Sus scrofa: one gene and its partner. The main gene of each other region encodes a partner of the protein of the gene in region 2 in a complex. Links are inferred from orthologs where the notes say so. Each region holds a gene or a part of one and is shown on either strand. Other genes may lie near its edges.

The links. The genes of interacting proteins can lie anywhere in the genome.
Region 1: the proteins of TCN2 (region 2) and CD320 are in contact, whole or in part, in a crystal structure (PDB 7QBF), measured with the Homo sapiens proteins. The link is inferred for Sus scrofa from reciprocal best matches to the Homo sapiens genes TCN2 and CD320. Residues at the interface, in NP_000346.2 of Homo sapiens: Asp70, Leu71, His74, Lys77, Leu78, Gln81, Gln82, Glu91, Asp92, Arg120, Gly121, His122, Lys123, Asp125, Arg126, Val128, Ser129, Lys132, Trp133, Glu136, Arg140, Lys169, Arg170, His172; in NP_057663.1 of Homo sapiens: Thr57, Lys58, Leu66, Cys67, Val68, Pro69, Trp72, Asp75, Arg76, Asp77, Leu78, Asp79, Leu133, Glu136, Cys145, Ile146, Pro147, Thr149, Trp150, Asp153, Gly154, His155, Pro156, Asp157, Cys158, Pro159.

The regions. Positions count from the first base shown.
Region 1 is NC_010444.4:70,965,604-70,972,578, reverse strand, and holds the end of CD320 (CD320 antigen), read right to left. Parts: intron 6,938-6,975; coding exon 6,691-6,937; intron 4,027-6,690; coding exon 3,901-4,026; intron 3,512-3,900; coding exon 3,287-3,511; intron 3,008-3,286; coding exon 2,873-3,007; intron 2,736-2,872; coding exon 2,596-2,735; 3' UTR 2,290-2,595; downstream 1-2,289. UniProt on the Homo sapiens protein: Receptor for transcobalamin saturated with cobalamin (TCbl). Plays an important role in cobalamin uptake. Plasma membrane protein that is expressed on follicular dendritic cells (FDC) and mediates interaction with germinal center B cells.
Region 2 is NC_010456.5:47,493,431-47,501,534, reverse strand, and holds the start of TCN2 (transcobalamin-2 precursor), read right to left. Parts: upstream 5,291-8,104; 5' UTR 5,135-5,290; intron 124-5,134; exon of another isoform or gene 84-123; intron 1-83. UniProt on the Homo sapiens protein: Primary vitamin B12-binding and transport protein. Delivers cobalamin to cells.

The DNA of each region.
Region 1 (6,975 bases), on a different chromosome or scaffold from region 2:
ATCACTCCCAGGGCCAGTGCAGTGTAAGTGCCTGAAATTAAGCTCTTTTTTTTTTTTTTTTTTTTTTGGCCATACCCAGCCAAGACATGCAGAAGTTCCCAGGCCAGGGATCGAACCCTTGCCACAAGAGTGGCCCGAGCCATAGCAGTGTAAACGCCAGATCTTTAACCTGTTGAACCACAAAGGAACTCCCTGAAGTTAAGCTTTTGATTTTTGGTGTCCATGAATAAACACATCGCCAGCTGCACCACAAAGCCACTAGCAACCCAACCTACCTGGTTAGTAGGTGCCTCTACCCACGAAGGTCTCCCTTTCAGAGACCCTGGGTAACCTGGATAACTGACCCCCCTTGAGTGACACCCCACCCCCTTTCCCTGCCAGAGTCCACATTCTGCCTCTTTTCTTTCTTTTTTGTCTGCCCCTCAGCCTATGGAACTCTCCGGCCAGGGATCAGATCCCAGCTACAGCTACGACCCACGCTGGAGCCCTAACCCTCTGTGTGGGGCCAGGGATCGAACCCACAGCCCAGAGCTCCAGAGATGCCACCAATCCCATTGCCCCACAGGGGGAACTCCCTCATTCCTGAATTTTTGCTGCGAGTTCACCAAGAGAGTGAACTCAGGCCTCCCACCTGCGGACCCTACTAAAGACAGAGCCCCAGGCCATCTCTCTCACTACAGGATCTTGCCAGTGGCCCTAAGGCAGCGGGGAGGGGGAGACTGTCAAGTACCTTCCAGGACCTGTGAGTAACAAATCTTGTTCCTCAAAGTTCCCTGATGGCTTTTCCCAAAGTGTGACTTTAAGAACCACAAAGGGAGTTCCCGTTGTGGCGCAGTGGTTAACGAATCTGACTAGGAACCATGAGGTGGCAGGTTCGATCCCTGGCCTTGCTCAGTGGGTTAAGGATCCGGTGTTACCGTGACCTGTGGTGTAGGTTGCAGACTCGGCTTGGATCCCGTGTTGCTGTGGCTCTGTTGCTGTAGGCTGGTGGCTATAGTTCCAATTAGACCCCTAGCCTGGGAACCTCTATATGCCACGGGAGCGGCCCTAGAAAAGGCAAAAAGACAAAAAAAAAAAAAAAAAAAAAAAAAAGACCCACAAGGGCTGGGCCAGCCCCCTCACGGGCTCTGGTTAGGGAAATGTTCAGCAGGGGCCTTGCCACAAGTACGAACATAGGTGAGGGCCCCAGGCCTTGCTCTCTGATGGTGACGCTAAGATGTACACAATAGTCGGTGCCCTCGGAAATTATTCAAACTCGCCAATTGCCAGCCTGTTTACACTGCCTCACCCGTTCCTTCTGGTGGAAACAATAAAAGCTCCTGCCCACATTGTTCCCTCCTGCCTCTGCCTCCTGATTCACTCTGGTGATTTCCCATGTGGCTCCACATGGCCTGTTATGACCCCTTTACTTGGCACCTGTAACAAACTGTCTTTATTTTTTTTTTTTGTCTTTTTGCTATTTCTTTGGGCCGCTCCTGCAGCATATGGAGGTTCCCAGGCTAGGGGTCCAATCGGAGCTGTAGCCACGGGCCTACGCCAGAGCCACAGCAACGTGGGATCCGAGCCGCGTCTGCAACCTACACCACAGCTCACGGCAACGCTGGATCGTTAACCCACTGAGCAAGGGCAGGGACTGAACCCGCAACCTCATGGTTCCTAGTCGGATTTGTTAACCACTGCGCCACGACGGGAACTCCTGCAGTTCAATTCTTAACTCACTATGCCCCAGCGGGAACTCCACAAAGTGCCTTTTCAATAGCAGTCACCTGATCTGTTGACCTGAGTAACAATAAAGCCTAGTTTTTTCTTTTCTTTTCTTTTTTCTTCTTTTGGGGGGCCATGCCTGTGGCAGGCCAAGGTTCCCAGGCCAGGGATCAAACCTGTTCCACAACAGCAAGTGACAAGGCCAGATTCTTCACCACTGGGCCACCAGGGAACTCCTAATAAAACCTACAGGTGGAAACAGGGTTGAGAGCAACCTGGAACCATCTCAAAGAGAAGCCAGGAAAGAGGGGGGTCCCCCAGCCCAGGACTCTGGGAGGCACTGCCCAAGGTCTGTTCCTCTTTGCAGAAGGTTGCAGAGAATGTGGACTGACCTGCCACCCTGGCCCCACTGTCCCCTGTTCTGGATCCCAGGAAGTCAGGGGTAGAGTGGCTGAGTGGGTGCCCTGGGCTGGGTCCCAGACTCCCACGCTGTATAGGCTACATGCTCCCTTACAGAGGAGGGGCTGCAGCAGAGCCCCCAGGCTGCCCAGAGGCAGAAGGAAACAGAGGCCCAGAGGCAGGACAGAGGATGTGAAAGCAACTTTAATCACCACCCTCAGGCAGGGGCTGCAGTAGTATCTGAGCAGCGGGGTTACCCTGGGAGTGACCTGGGGCCAGCCCCTCGGTTCCAGCTCTGGCACGTTTCCCATCCAGGTTCCTGGCATCCAGGGGAGGGTCCCAGCCTCCAGGGCCCCATCTTCAGGAGCTCAGGTACTCAGTGCTGCTGTGTAGAAGAATCCAGGTCTGGGGGCTACTGTGCCCACAGTCATGTGCATGTCCCCATACCTGCCATACTCAGGGACCATGCGATGTGACAGCAATGGCTCATCCTCAGAGCACCGAGGCCGTCTTCTCTGACTGCAGAGACCCCTTTAGGGCCACCAGCAGCCCCAGCGGGGACAGGCGTCCCTGGGCACAGAATCGTGACAACACGAAGAAGATGGTGATGGCCAGACCTACACTGAGCACCACTGTGGGGGATAGAGACAGGAGTGGGTAAGGGGGTGGCAGGAGATCCCACACCCACCAGGATCCTAACACCCTGCAAAGGGGGGTCTGCAGCCTGTCTGCTCCCAGCCCCAGGCGTGGGACGGCCTGTTCATCTTACCAGCAGCTGCGATAACCCCATAAGCACTTCGGTTTCCAGACTGAACTGAGTCCTGGTCGTCGACAGAGGTGACTGTGGCATTGCCCACAGGGGTTCCCATGGACGTGGCACCCCCTTCCTGGACAGTCTTGGTTCCTGCAAGAAGTCCAGGCATTCAGTAGCTGGGGAGGGGGCACCTGGGGCGGGGAAGGATGAAGGATGGTCCCAGTGCCAGGGGTGTCCTTGTGGCTCCCCTCCATCCCAGACTGAGTGAGGCTGCTCAGCACTGCTGCTGGAGTACCCTCGTGCAGCCCCCCGGGCAGACCCACGTGTCCACACCCTCAGCCTCATCATATACACCTCATCATATACAAGGTGAGGTGTCAGGCATCCTTGTCTACCCACCAACCCTTGCCACCCCCCACTAGCACACACCACAGCCAAGCTCATCGCTGTAGTCCGAACAGTCTGGGTGACCATCACAGAGCCACGTGATTGGGATACAGGAATTCTCCGGCAGGCAGTAAACCTCCCCCTCCTGGCAGGGCTGGTGCCGGCAGTTCTCATTAACACCTTCAGGGCAGTCATGGATGCTGTCACAAGGGCAGGGTCTGCCAATGGGTGGCGGGCACTGCCCATCCTGGGTGCATGGCTCAATACCTGGGGTACAAAGTCAGTCAGGTCCCAAACACCCACCCAAGAGGGCCCAGGTACTCCCCAACGCCCAGCCCCTGTAAGCCCCACCTTCCAAAAGCAATTGACCATATAAGGCCCACCCCTCCTACAGGCCCCACCCCATGCTTCTATTAGCTCCACCTTCCAAGGACTCACCTCCTGGCAAGCCCTTCCTCCCAAGACGGCACTAACTCCACCTAACTACAAACCCACTCCTTAACCCAAAGACCCAGACCAGTGTCCTTGCAGGCCTCCCCGCCACTCTCAGGCCCAATTCAGCGAGCCCAGCCCCAAAGCCACACCCCTCCTACAAGCATCTCCTCCATATGGCCCCTCCCCCATTGCAAGCCCTGCCCCCAGGCTGTGGCCCTCACCGCATTCCACCTCATCACTGCCATCAGGGCAATCCTTGTCAACATCGCAGCGCCATTTGAGGGGCACACAGAGACCACTGGTCCGGCACTGGAAATTGGTGGGCGCGCACGAGCCTGCACTGGGGCCTAAGAGATGCACACAGGTGAGGCCTGGGAGGTCTGGAGCACATTGGGATGTACACTGGTGGTCACCCTCTGCTAAGTATGTACTGGGTGTCAGGCCTGAACAGTTCGCAGCCTCGCCAAGAGCCTGACTGAGGAGATTCTACTGCCATGGCCCTTCTACAGAAGATGCTTAGAGATGTGAGGCCCGAGGCTATAAGCTAGTGGCAGAGTCAGGGTTCAAACCCTGGTCTCAATGACCCCAGAGTCTTTACCTGGTTCCACATGGCCAGATGGTCTCCCTAGGAGTCTTTTCAAGCTCCACGGTTAAACAGACTGGGGAAGGGGCCTACGCAGGCCCACGGTCAGGGTCAGAAGGGCCCATTATGTGCCAGCTGCTCACCAAAGGGGGAAACTGTGGCCTTAGATAGAGGACCTGCTTAGTCACCTCTAACTTCCTCCCAAACCTGGCCACTTTCCCCCATCCCGAATGTGCCCCCTCCTCCCCAGATTCCCCACCCCCATCTCCATGCAGACACCAGAGACCTCTCAGAGTCCCACCATTCGGTCACTAATCCCTTGCTTCCCCTTTGCTCAAAACTGTCCCTTGGTCCCCTGACCTTCTCACAACCAAATCTTCCATCCTTTGTGTCACTTGCAACACCTGGCCAGCCTTGAACCCTTCCTGGATCTCGCCTCCTCCCACGTTCCTCCTCCTCATCAAGCTCCCTCTGACCTGGCCTCCTTGCTGCCTCTGTAAGGGGCCTGGTTTGTTTCCACCAGAATTTTCCCCCATGCTATTCCTGGGTCCAGTACCCCCTTTCCTCCCTCTTCCCTGCACCTTATGATTTCCTCCTCAGATTTCACGTCTCAGCTTATTTCCTGGGAGGGGTCTCACGCTTCAGACCCCTGTAGCTTGGCCTCCCACTTAGAACAATGGTCCTTGAACTGGTACCCTTGTAGACGGGACACTTAGTGGTGGTCAGGGCCATGACTTTTGACGGTAAGCCTGGGGCCATGTCTAATGATAAGTGGACACAGATCACACAACAGTCTGGGCTGAGTCCAGCTGACACCCGAGCCTTCCTGGACACCCAGCAGAAGGAGCACAGAAGGGCCTGGAAGCTGGGCCAGCAGCCGAGAGTCTGAGGGACAGAGGAAGGGAGTGGCTTTTATGGCTTCCCCCTGGGTACAACAGGGTGGGTGGCAGAAAACTGGCATGGACCCAGCCTAGCCCCCCTCCATTTGATCCTGGTCATTTGACCCTTCAACCTTTTTTTTTTTCCCATTTTTTAGAGCCACACCCACAGCACATGGAAGTTCCCAGGCTAGGGGTCAAGTTGGAGCTACAACTACTGGCCTACACCACAACCACAGCAATGCAGGATCCAAGCCACATCTGCAACCTACACAGCAGCTTGAGGCAACGCCAGTTCCTTAACCTTCTGTGCGAGGCCAGGGATTGAACCAGAGTCCTCATAGGTACTAACCTGCTGAGCCACAACAGGAACTCTGACCCTTCCACCTTTACTCATGGGGGCCTGTGTCTCCAAGCCCCCCGCCCCTCACAGCCAGCCCTTCTGCAGGCCAGCCTCCAGGCCTTACTGTACCTGTGGGCCACACAGGCCCTGAGCTCTGTGGAGTGACCTGGAGCCGACTTCCTTCCCTGCCCATGGGAGTCTGGCAGCCTATGGGTGCAGGCAGCTTCCTTGCCAGGCCTAGCCACTCCGCGTGGCAACCCCTGACCTCCTTCCCTGACCTGCTGGACTGTGTGTCCATCTGTAAATCAGGAAGCAGAGCAGACCCGACCGCATGGGAATGCAGTTTGGAGCAAGGAGGGATTGGCCCTCCCAGCCTCAGTTTCCTCACCTGTAAAAGGGGCATGCTAGGAGTCCCTACCTCAGCACGCTGAAGAGAAGACACTGCTTGTGTGTAGAGTTTGGTACTTGGTTAATATGAGTCCTGATCATTGAAAGAATCAGGAACATTTAGCCTCAGATGGGAGCTTTGGACTGAGATAGAGAACCAGAAAAGATAGGATCCCATGGAGAAGCGGGTGTGTGAATCTGAGTTCACAGATGAAAATCAGGGGCACATGTGAGCACAGGGTGGTCACATTAACCTGCCCGGTTGCCTCTGGGAATCTCCGAGAGGGCGACCAACTTAAGCCAGGGTGAACGTGCCAAAGACCTGGGGTCGCAGGGAGGGAGGGAGACTTTTCTTTCTCTAAGACTGGAGAAGGAAAATGCAGAGACTGCGAGGGCAGGAGACTGTCGCTGAGGAAATTCAGCCATATGGCCCCGGGCCGCTGGGGTCAGGGTGTGGAAGGTGAAGCTACAGCAGGAGGCGCCAGGTTGGAGTCTGACAACCAGAGCCTGCAACAAACTTTCCTGCCCAAGCTGGGGTGAAGGGTGTCTTGAAGGTGACAATGGAGCACGACCAGCATAGCAGGTATAGGGTATAAGCGGGAACGAAACAGGATAGTCAAAGACAGGCAGAGCAACCCAGGCGGAGGGTCCCGCATTGGGGAAGGCGCCCCTAGAGCCACGTGCGCGGGGGGGCGGGGGGGCGGGGGGAGTGCCTCGGAGAGATATGCGGCGGAGCCAATGGTGAGGCGCTGCTGGCGGACGGGGGCGGATCTAGGGCTGCCTGAGTGGAGGGCGCGTGGGCTACACTGAGATCACTCACCTGGGTCCTCCGTCAAGGACCTGGTTGGGGTCGAGGTCGGGGTGGCTTCCAGGCCGAGCCCGAAGGCAAGCAGCAGCCGCAGCGCCAAACCCAGGGCCGCTGTACGCAACGCTCTGCCCGGCGCCATCAAACCACCTAACACATCACCCAGCCCAGCGCCCGGCTCTGGCAGAGCGTAGCCTGAGGGATCTTTCTTATCCCCCGTACGCTTGCGCACAGGCCTGGGGGCGGGGCCCACGGCCACTTGCTATGATTACCGTAAATGTCCGAATACGAGGAGATATT
Region 2 (8,104 bases):
CCATGGTGGTGGGGGGGATAAATTGGGAGGATGGGATTAACATACATACACCACTATGTACAAAATAGATAACAAGGACCTACCGTATAGTGCAAGGAAGTTTACTCAGTGTTCTGTAATAACCTATGGAGCGGGGGAGAATGGCTATATGTATATGTATAACTGATCCACTTTGCTGTAAACATGATGCTAATATAACATGGTAAATCAACTATGCCCCGAGAAAAAAAATTTTTTTTTTTGTCTTTTTGCCATTTCTTGGGCCTTTCCCGTGGCATGTGGAGGTTCCCAGGCTAGGGGTCTAATAGGAGCTATAGCTGCCGGCCAACACCAGAGCCACAGCAATGCGGGATCAGAGCCGAGTCTGCGACCTACACCACAGCACACAGCAACACCGGATCGGTAACCCACTGAGCAAGGGCAGGTATCAAACCCGCAACCTCATGGTTCCTAGTCGGATTCGTTAACCACTGCACCACGACGGGAACTCCCCGACAAAATGTTTTAAAAACAGATACATCCTTTCCCTCACTGAGTTTTCAGTGTAATGAGGGAGAACCACAGAAAAACTAAAAACATTATAAACCAATTATACTCCAATATAAAAAATTAAATAAATGAATGAAATAAATACATAAAATGCAAATGTATATTGGAGACATTGCAGTTTCAGTTCCAGACCATGGCAATCAAGCAAATATCCCAATAAAATGAATACTGCCATAAAAAAATTTTTATTGCAATCATTTTATAACAAATTGCCACTGTTCATTCTTTCAAGATGATCTAGTTTTGTGCCTGATTTATCACAAGCCAATCTTTTGACATAACTAAATACAGAGAAGTGCATCTGTTTACAGAAGTACTTTATAAAATTAGACTGTCGAGTGCAAGAAGGCTGAGTATGGCCCATCAGGATGACATTCTGGGAAAGGAGGGAGTCCAGCTGAGGCCCAGCTTCTTCCGTGGATCCTCAGGTTCAGATCTCCTGGGGGGCCTTGGAAACTTATGGGCAATGGAGCTGCCTTGGTCTGGGACAGGACTATGCCTGCCCCCTAGTCCTCTGCCTATGGTGGATGGCAATGATTCTGTTTCCTACCATCCCCAGGATGGCAGTCCCTGATGAGAAGCAGCTTCCTTGGTAGAGTCACCTCTGATCCCTAAGGACTCAAAGATACTGCAGTGACCAGTGGGGAGAAGACATGTTTTCCACAGCTATTAGAAACAGAGTGAGTGATCAGGGGTGGAGCTGTACTGTTTTAGGTAATGGGTTAGGGGAAGTAAAAGAAAAATGGCTAAATCATTTGGTTCAGGACTTCTATTTGGGGGTCTATGGCTGGGAAAGTAAATGTTAGCTTGGCATGAGCAGGTAAAAGTTCCTCTGTTCATGCATCAGGAAAGGCACAGATAAAGCCAGTGGCAATGTAAACAGGAAACACTATTTCTCCCAAGGTCATCTTACAGTTATGAAGTGTCCCAGTAACCATGTTGTTTGAGTGGCTGTTTTTTTTTTTTTTACTGGGATTCTTTTTTCCCTCTAATATAACAAACTATCAGAAATTTGCTGTTTGAAATCATGTTAGTAAGAAAAAAACATTCCTGGAGTTCCCACTGAAGCTCAGCAATAATGAACCTGACTAGTATTCATGAGGACACAGTTTCCATCCCTGGCCTCACTCAGTAGGTTAAGGATCATGGCGTTGCCATGAGCTGTGGTGTAGGTTGAAGACACAGCTCAGATCCTGCATTGCTGTGGCTGTGGTGTAGGCCAGCAGCTACAGCTCCAATTGTAGCCCTAGCCTGGGAACTTCAATATGCTGTAGGTGCGGCCCTAAAAAGAAAAGAAAAAAAAAAAGGAAAAGAAAGAATAGGAAGAGAGGAAGGGAGGACAGGGGAAAGAAACAAACATTCCTGGAAGAGCCAAGTCAGCTCTGGTATGGAATTTCTGGACTCAACATTCCATGTCTATCTCAACTTTGTAGTTTTACAAGGAAACAGGATATTTGCTGTCCAAACCTGAAGCTGACCTTTCTCATGCATCCCTGTGTTGTGTTGAGCCTATGCATAATACTGCTTGGTTTTACATCTCACCAAACTTCATCTATGTGATGTAATAATCCTGACTTTTCCTGGGTCAGACCCTCACAGTTCCTCTCCCTCACTGCAGTGGTCAACTAAGCTGACTAAAGATTTATTCCTGGGAGTCCTGCTGTGGCACAGCGGAAATGAACCCAACTAGTATCCATGAGGCAGAGGGTTCAATCCCTGGCCTCACTGAGTGGGTCAGGATCAAGGATCTGGCATTGCTGTGAGTTGTTAGGTAGGTCACAGACACAGGTCAGATGCCCCATTGCTGTGGCTGTGGTATAGGCTGGCAGCTGTAGCTCTGATTCGTCCCCTAGCCTGGGAACTCCCATATGCGATGGGTGTGGCCCTAAGAAGCAAAAAAAAAAAAGATTTATTCCTCGTGGTGTTATGATGATTGGGCTAGGACACAGCGTAACAAAGAATCCAACAGGGGAAAAAAATTATATGCATGAATGAGAATATATTGAATAATGCAGGGAATATAGCTAATATTTTATAAGAACTATAAATGGAAAATAACCTTTAACAATTATGAATCGTGGAGTTCCCTGGTGGTCTAGAACTTAAGGATCTGGCATTATCACTGCTGTGGCTCAGGTTGTTGCTGTGGCACAGATTCAACCCCTGGCCCAGAAACTTCTACTGCCAAAGCACAGCAAAAAAAAAAAAAAAAAAAAACCTATGAATCACTATGCTATACACCTAAAACTCCCATAATATTGTATATCAACTATACTTCAATTTTCAAAAAACAACAGTGAAGGGGAAAAAAATTGCATGCACGAAGGTGGCATTGAAGGATGAATATAACAAATACAACTGTGTGGATGTATATGGAATATCCATTTTCTTAATTAAAAATGTAGGCATTCCCACTGTGACACAGTGGGTAAGGATCTAGTGTTGCCACAGCTGTGGCATAGGTTGCAGCTTCAGCTTGGATTTGATCCCTAGCCCAGGAACTTCTATATGCCATGGGTGAGGCCAAATAAAATAAAATAAAATATTTAAATTGCCAACTGCTATAAGCAGTCGGTCTTGTTCACATTTTACAAATGAGGAAGAGAAGTACTGCGAGGTAAAGTGGCTTGCCTATAGCTTGGAAGTAAAGCCAGGTGTGTCTGCCTGCAGAGCCTGGGCTCTTTACCATGATGGTGATGGAGGTTCACAAAGCGTTCCAGGAGTGGATGGCTCTAATAGCTAAAAATCTCTTCCCATTATAAAGCTAAAATGTGCTTCACATGTTTCTAGAGTCACACAGCAGTTTCCACAGGACAGAAAGAAGGAAACTAACTGTTGGTGTTGGGTGCCCAGCTCTGTCCACAACTCATTAGGCAGTGACATGTGATTTCAACATTGGGCTCTGCAACGAGGCTGCCTAGTGAAAGTCCATTTTCCACTACTTAGCAGCTGAGTGACCTTGGGATGAGTCCCTTCCCTTCCCAGAACCTCAGTTTCCTCATCTGTAAAATCTAGTACCTATTTTGAACTCCAGACCCAATGTACAATTTCTTTTCTAGACACCTCCATCTGTGTCTTTCCACTGACCCCCCCTCGAAATCAATGTGAGCAAAACAGGCCCTTCCTGTGTAGACCAGCTACATGATTTGCAAGTGCAGGGTGCCTTGTTAAAATATTGTTAAGAATCAGCGTTGGCTCAAGCACAGGGCCATGGCCACTGCCAGGATCACACACCCATGACAGTGGCCTTGCTCCTGTGTTCCTTTGATTAACGAGCCACTACTGTCCTCTCAGGTCCATCCTTCTCCTCCTACACAGTCACACCCTACATGCTCCCAAATGCCCCAAACTTTTGCCTCTGGCCTGGACAGTCTCTTTCTCCTTTCTCTTTGCCAGCCCCATTCCTTTTGTTCTCAGAGCCTTTCTGAAACACACCTTAGTCTTTTGCTGTGAGAACCACATGACCCTGCTTTTCCTCACACCGCTCTGTCAAGTTCCTTCAAAGTCTTTGCTAGCTCACCTTCCCCTACCCATTTTTCATTATATTTCATTTTTCGTTGTTTGTAGAGGCACTAGGCTTTTTTTCTTTTCTTTTTTTTTTTTTTTTTGGCCACCCTATGGTTTGTGGAGTTCCCGGCCAGGGATCAGTGATCCAAGCTGCAGTTGAGACCTATGCTGCAACTGCAGCGACTCGGAAGCCTCAACCCACCATGACGGGCTGGGGATCAAACCTGCATCCCAGCCTCCCAATGCGCCAGAGGGAACTCTGAATCATTAAGTTTTTATTTTAGCTATCATGGAAAGTACATAATAAAACACACATTTTTCAAAACAAGTATTGGTCAGTGCTTGATATCTGTATTTACCTCTAAAGGGTGAGTTAATGACCATGACTTTAGGTCAGGTCACATTCACAAGGGCCTCAAATTTTAATTTTTTTATTTTTTGCATTTTAGGGCTGTATGTGCTGCATATGGAAGTTCCCCAGCTGGGGAAAGAATCGAGCCACATCTGCCCGCCTACACCACAGCCACAGCAATGCAGGATCCGAGCCGGGTCTGCGACCTACACCACAGCATGACGCAACGCTGGATCCCTGACCCACTGAGCGAGTCCAGGATCGAAACCGCATCCTCATGGATACTACTAGGATTCGTTTCCGCTGCGCCACAATGGGAACTCTTCAAATTTAAAATTTTGAGGCAATCTCCAAATGGAGTTTAGCGGCCTGAAGGAAGAAAACATCTAACTTTGCAAATTTCATCTACTCCCCAGACCACATCACACTCGTGTGAATATTTGTATAAATCTTGTAATTACCCTTTAAAGAACACAATACGGAATTTGTATATACATATTAAAAACTAAAACATGTTAAATGTACATTTAAAATATAGCACCAGTTCCAACTGTGCTTTCGTCATTTTTCAACTCTCTCCTAAGGCTCAGAAAGTTTAAGTGGCCTCTTGGGTCTCTCTACCTCTGAGAGGAAAAAGTTTGCTTTTGCTTTATTTACACCGATAATAGCGAACTAACCAAAGGAAAAACCAATGGCCACAGGAGAAGCGAAAGTCGCTCCACTTACCTCCGAGGTGGCTTCTCAGGCAAGACAAGTTTCGACGCCTACTGTTACTATGACAACGCAATTCTTGCCGCTGCTCCCAGAAGAGAGACTCCCCTATGCATCCCAGAAGGCGCTGCGCTGCCTCTAGGCCTTCCGCCGCCTTCCATCCCAAAATGCAACGGGGCTGAAACGGCAAGCGTTCGTCATCAGGATGACTATAGAAATGCCTGAATATCCGCCTTCAATCAAACATTAAATATGTCTGTATTAGGCAATAAATGGGAAAGATCCAGAAGAGCGGTCTTAGTGATTTTTTTCATGGAGTTTAGTTGTAAATATAAAAGAGAAAAGTCCCTTTTTTCCCTAGACTTGCTCAGGCACTTCCTTGGGCAGCCCTCACAGGCAGGCGGCGTGGAGGGCCTCGGGGCCCTGTACCGCGCACATGCGGGAGGAAGTGGCGCTACCTGTCCGCTCGGCACTGGTAGACCTTTCAGCGTGGAGCCATGGGCGGCCTGGAGAAGAAGAAGGTGATGTGCGAGAAGCAGGGGTGGGGACACAGGGGTGACCCAGGAGGTAGGAGACGGGAGCGATATAGCCCGGGAACTGCGCCTTTCCCCGGCCTTGGCCCCTTGTGGGTGCAGAGGTGGCTGATCAACGCGGTAGAAGACAGCAGCCAGAAAGGGTCCGAGGATGGGCGAGGACAGCATTACTCGTTCGGTGAAATCCGGGAAAGAAGCCTGCAGTAGAGCTGTGAAAGAGAGCTGAGGTTACCAAGTAAAGATGCATCCCAGAGCAGGCCGAACCGGAGGACAACTGTTTACTGAAAAAGTGATGAACATAGCGCAGAGCTCATCACTATGTTGAGTTTATCATTTTAAAAACTTGTTACTCCCTTTTCTGTTGAATCAGGCCTTTTTCTGGACGTTGGGGATGAGGCATAACCAGATGTAGTCCCTACATTTCCCAAGCTCACTTTCTAGTAGGGAAGGTAGCCACTAAAGTAAATAACCAAAGAAAACGGTCACAAACAAGCCTGACAGAGGAAACTAAGTGCCAAGGCCCTTAGGTAGAAAAGGCTTGCCGTGTGTACCGAATGGGAGGGATATCAGGACAGTTGGGGTATAGTAAACCAAGGGAAGAATGGCATCTAATGTAGTTGGGGTTGGACAGAAACCGTGTTATTCACAGTGAAGAGATTGGATTTTATTTGCTGTGCAGTAAGAATCAACTAAAAGGGGAATGACATCGATTTTTCAAAGAATTGTTTTTGTTGCTGTATGGAAAATCACATTGGTGGCATGGAGAGGAGGGGATGAGGATGGGGATGATGTTTCTTCATCTTGAAAGTTTCCAATGCTGATTTGTTTTTAACCCAGCACTCATTATGTGCTAGCCATTGGAACTACAAAAATATGAGGGAGAAAATCTCATCTTGAGAAACAGTTGCAAATATGTAAACAAATCATGGCAGTTTTTAAAGTGGGGATTTCACAACCATTTTGACATTTTGAGCCACATAACTTAGTTGTGTTGTTGTGGGGAGGGTTGTCTAGTGTGTTGTAGGATGTTCAGCAGCATTCCTGACCGTTCATCCACTAGGTGCCAGTAGTACCCAACAACACCAAATACTGAATCCACCCCCAATACACCCAGAGAGTAAAGTCACCCCAGTTAACTTTGAGTATTCTCTTTTTTTTTTTTGTCTTTTTAGGGCCACACCTGTGGCATATGGAGGTTCCCAGGCTAGGGGTCTAATTGGAGCTACAGCTGCCACCTATACCACAGGCATAGCAATGTGGCATCTGAGCTGTGTCTGTGACCTGCACCACAGCTCACAGCAACACTGGATCTGTAACCCACTGAGCAAGGCCAGGGATCGAACTCACAACCTCATGGTTACTAGTTGGATTTGTTAACCACTGAGCTATGATGGGAACTCCTTGAGTGTCCTCTTAATGTTTGAAAGGGTAAGAATGGTGACAGTGTGGCATAGGGTAATGGAAAACAGTTTTAACAAAAGCAACTTCCCTAAAACAGTCTGAAACTCATCTTTGTATTGCCCTGGGACTTGGCATGGGCCTGATCCCCAATAAACAATTGATAACTTTATTAATAATAAAATGCATGCGGGGTGTGTTTGGTGACTCTGGGGTTATTCGTAAACGTACCCCTCAGGAGGCTACGGGTTTATCCCTTTAGAGCTGGACCTGGCCATCAAGGCCTATGATCTCTTAGTCCAGAGGAAGAGCTTATTTGGAAAAGATGTTCTTGCTTTGCATTGCAGGGCACCTGGCCCAGTGCACTGTTGCTCTGTCAGGGCTACAGGGATGTGAGTATAAGGCAGCATCTCAGCATTACAGACAACCACATGGTTGCATCATGCTTCTTGGGGGCAGGTAGAAGATAGACCATTTGACTTTATTACCCACATACCTCTAGCTAAATGCTTGGAACATAGTAGAGGTTTTTTGGGGTTTTGTTTGTTGATTTTTTTGTTTTTGTTTTTTTTTTTCCTTTTCTAGGGCTGCTCCCGCAGCATATGGAGGTTCCCAGGCTAGGGTCCAATCGGAGCTATAGCCGCCGGCCTATGCCACAGGCACAGCAACGCAGGATCCGAGCCGCGTCTGCAACCTGCACCACAGCTCATGGCAATGCCAGATCCTTGACCCATTGAGCAAGGCCAGGGATCAAACCTGCAACCTCATGGTTCCTAGTCAGATTCGTTAACCACTGAGCCACGACGGGAACTCCCCATAGTAGAGGTCTTAATGTCTGTGAATGAGTGAATAAGTGAATGAATGGGGAAGGAGAGAGGCTCTATGGCTTCAAGTGCATTTTCAACCAGATGGTGTCATCCCCAAGGAACAAAAATTGGTTGGGAGGTGTCTTAGATATTACAGTGATTTGTGGCCCTTTATAGGACTGCATTACATAAATAGATCTACCATATATCTGGGATAATTAACATTTCAGAGGGCTGTGTGAGAGGGT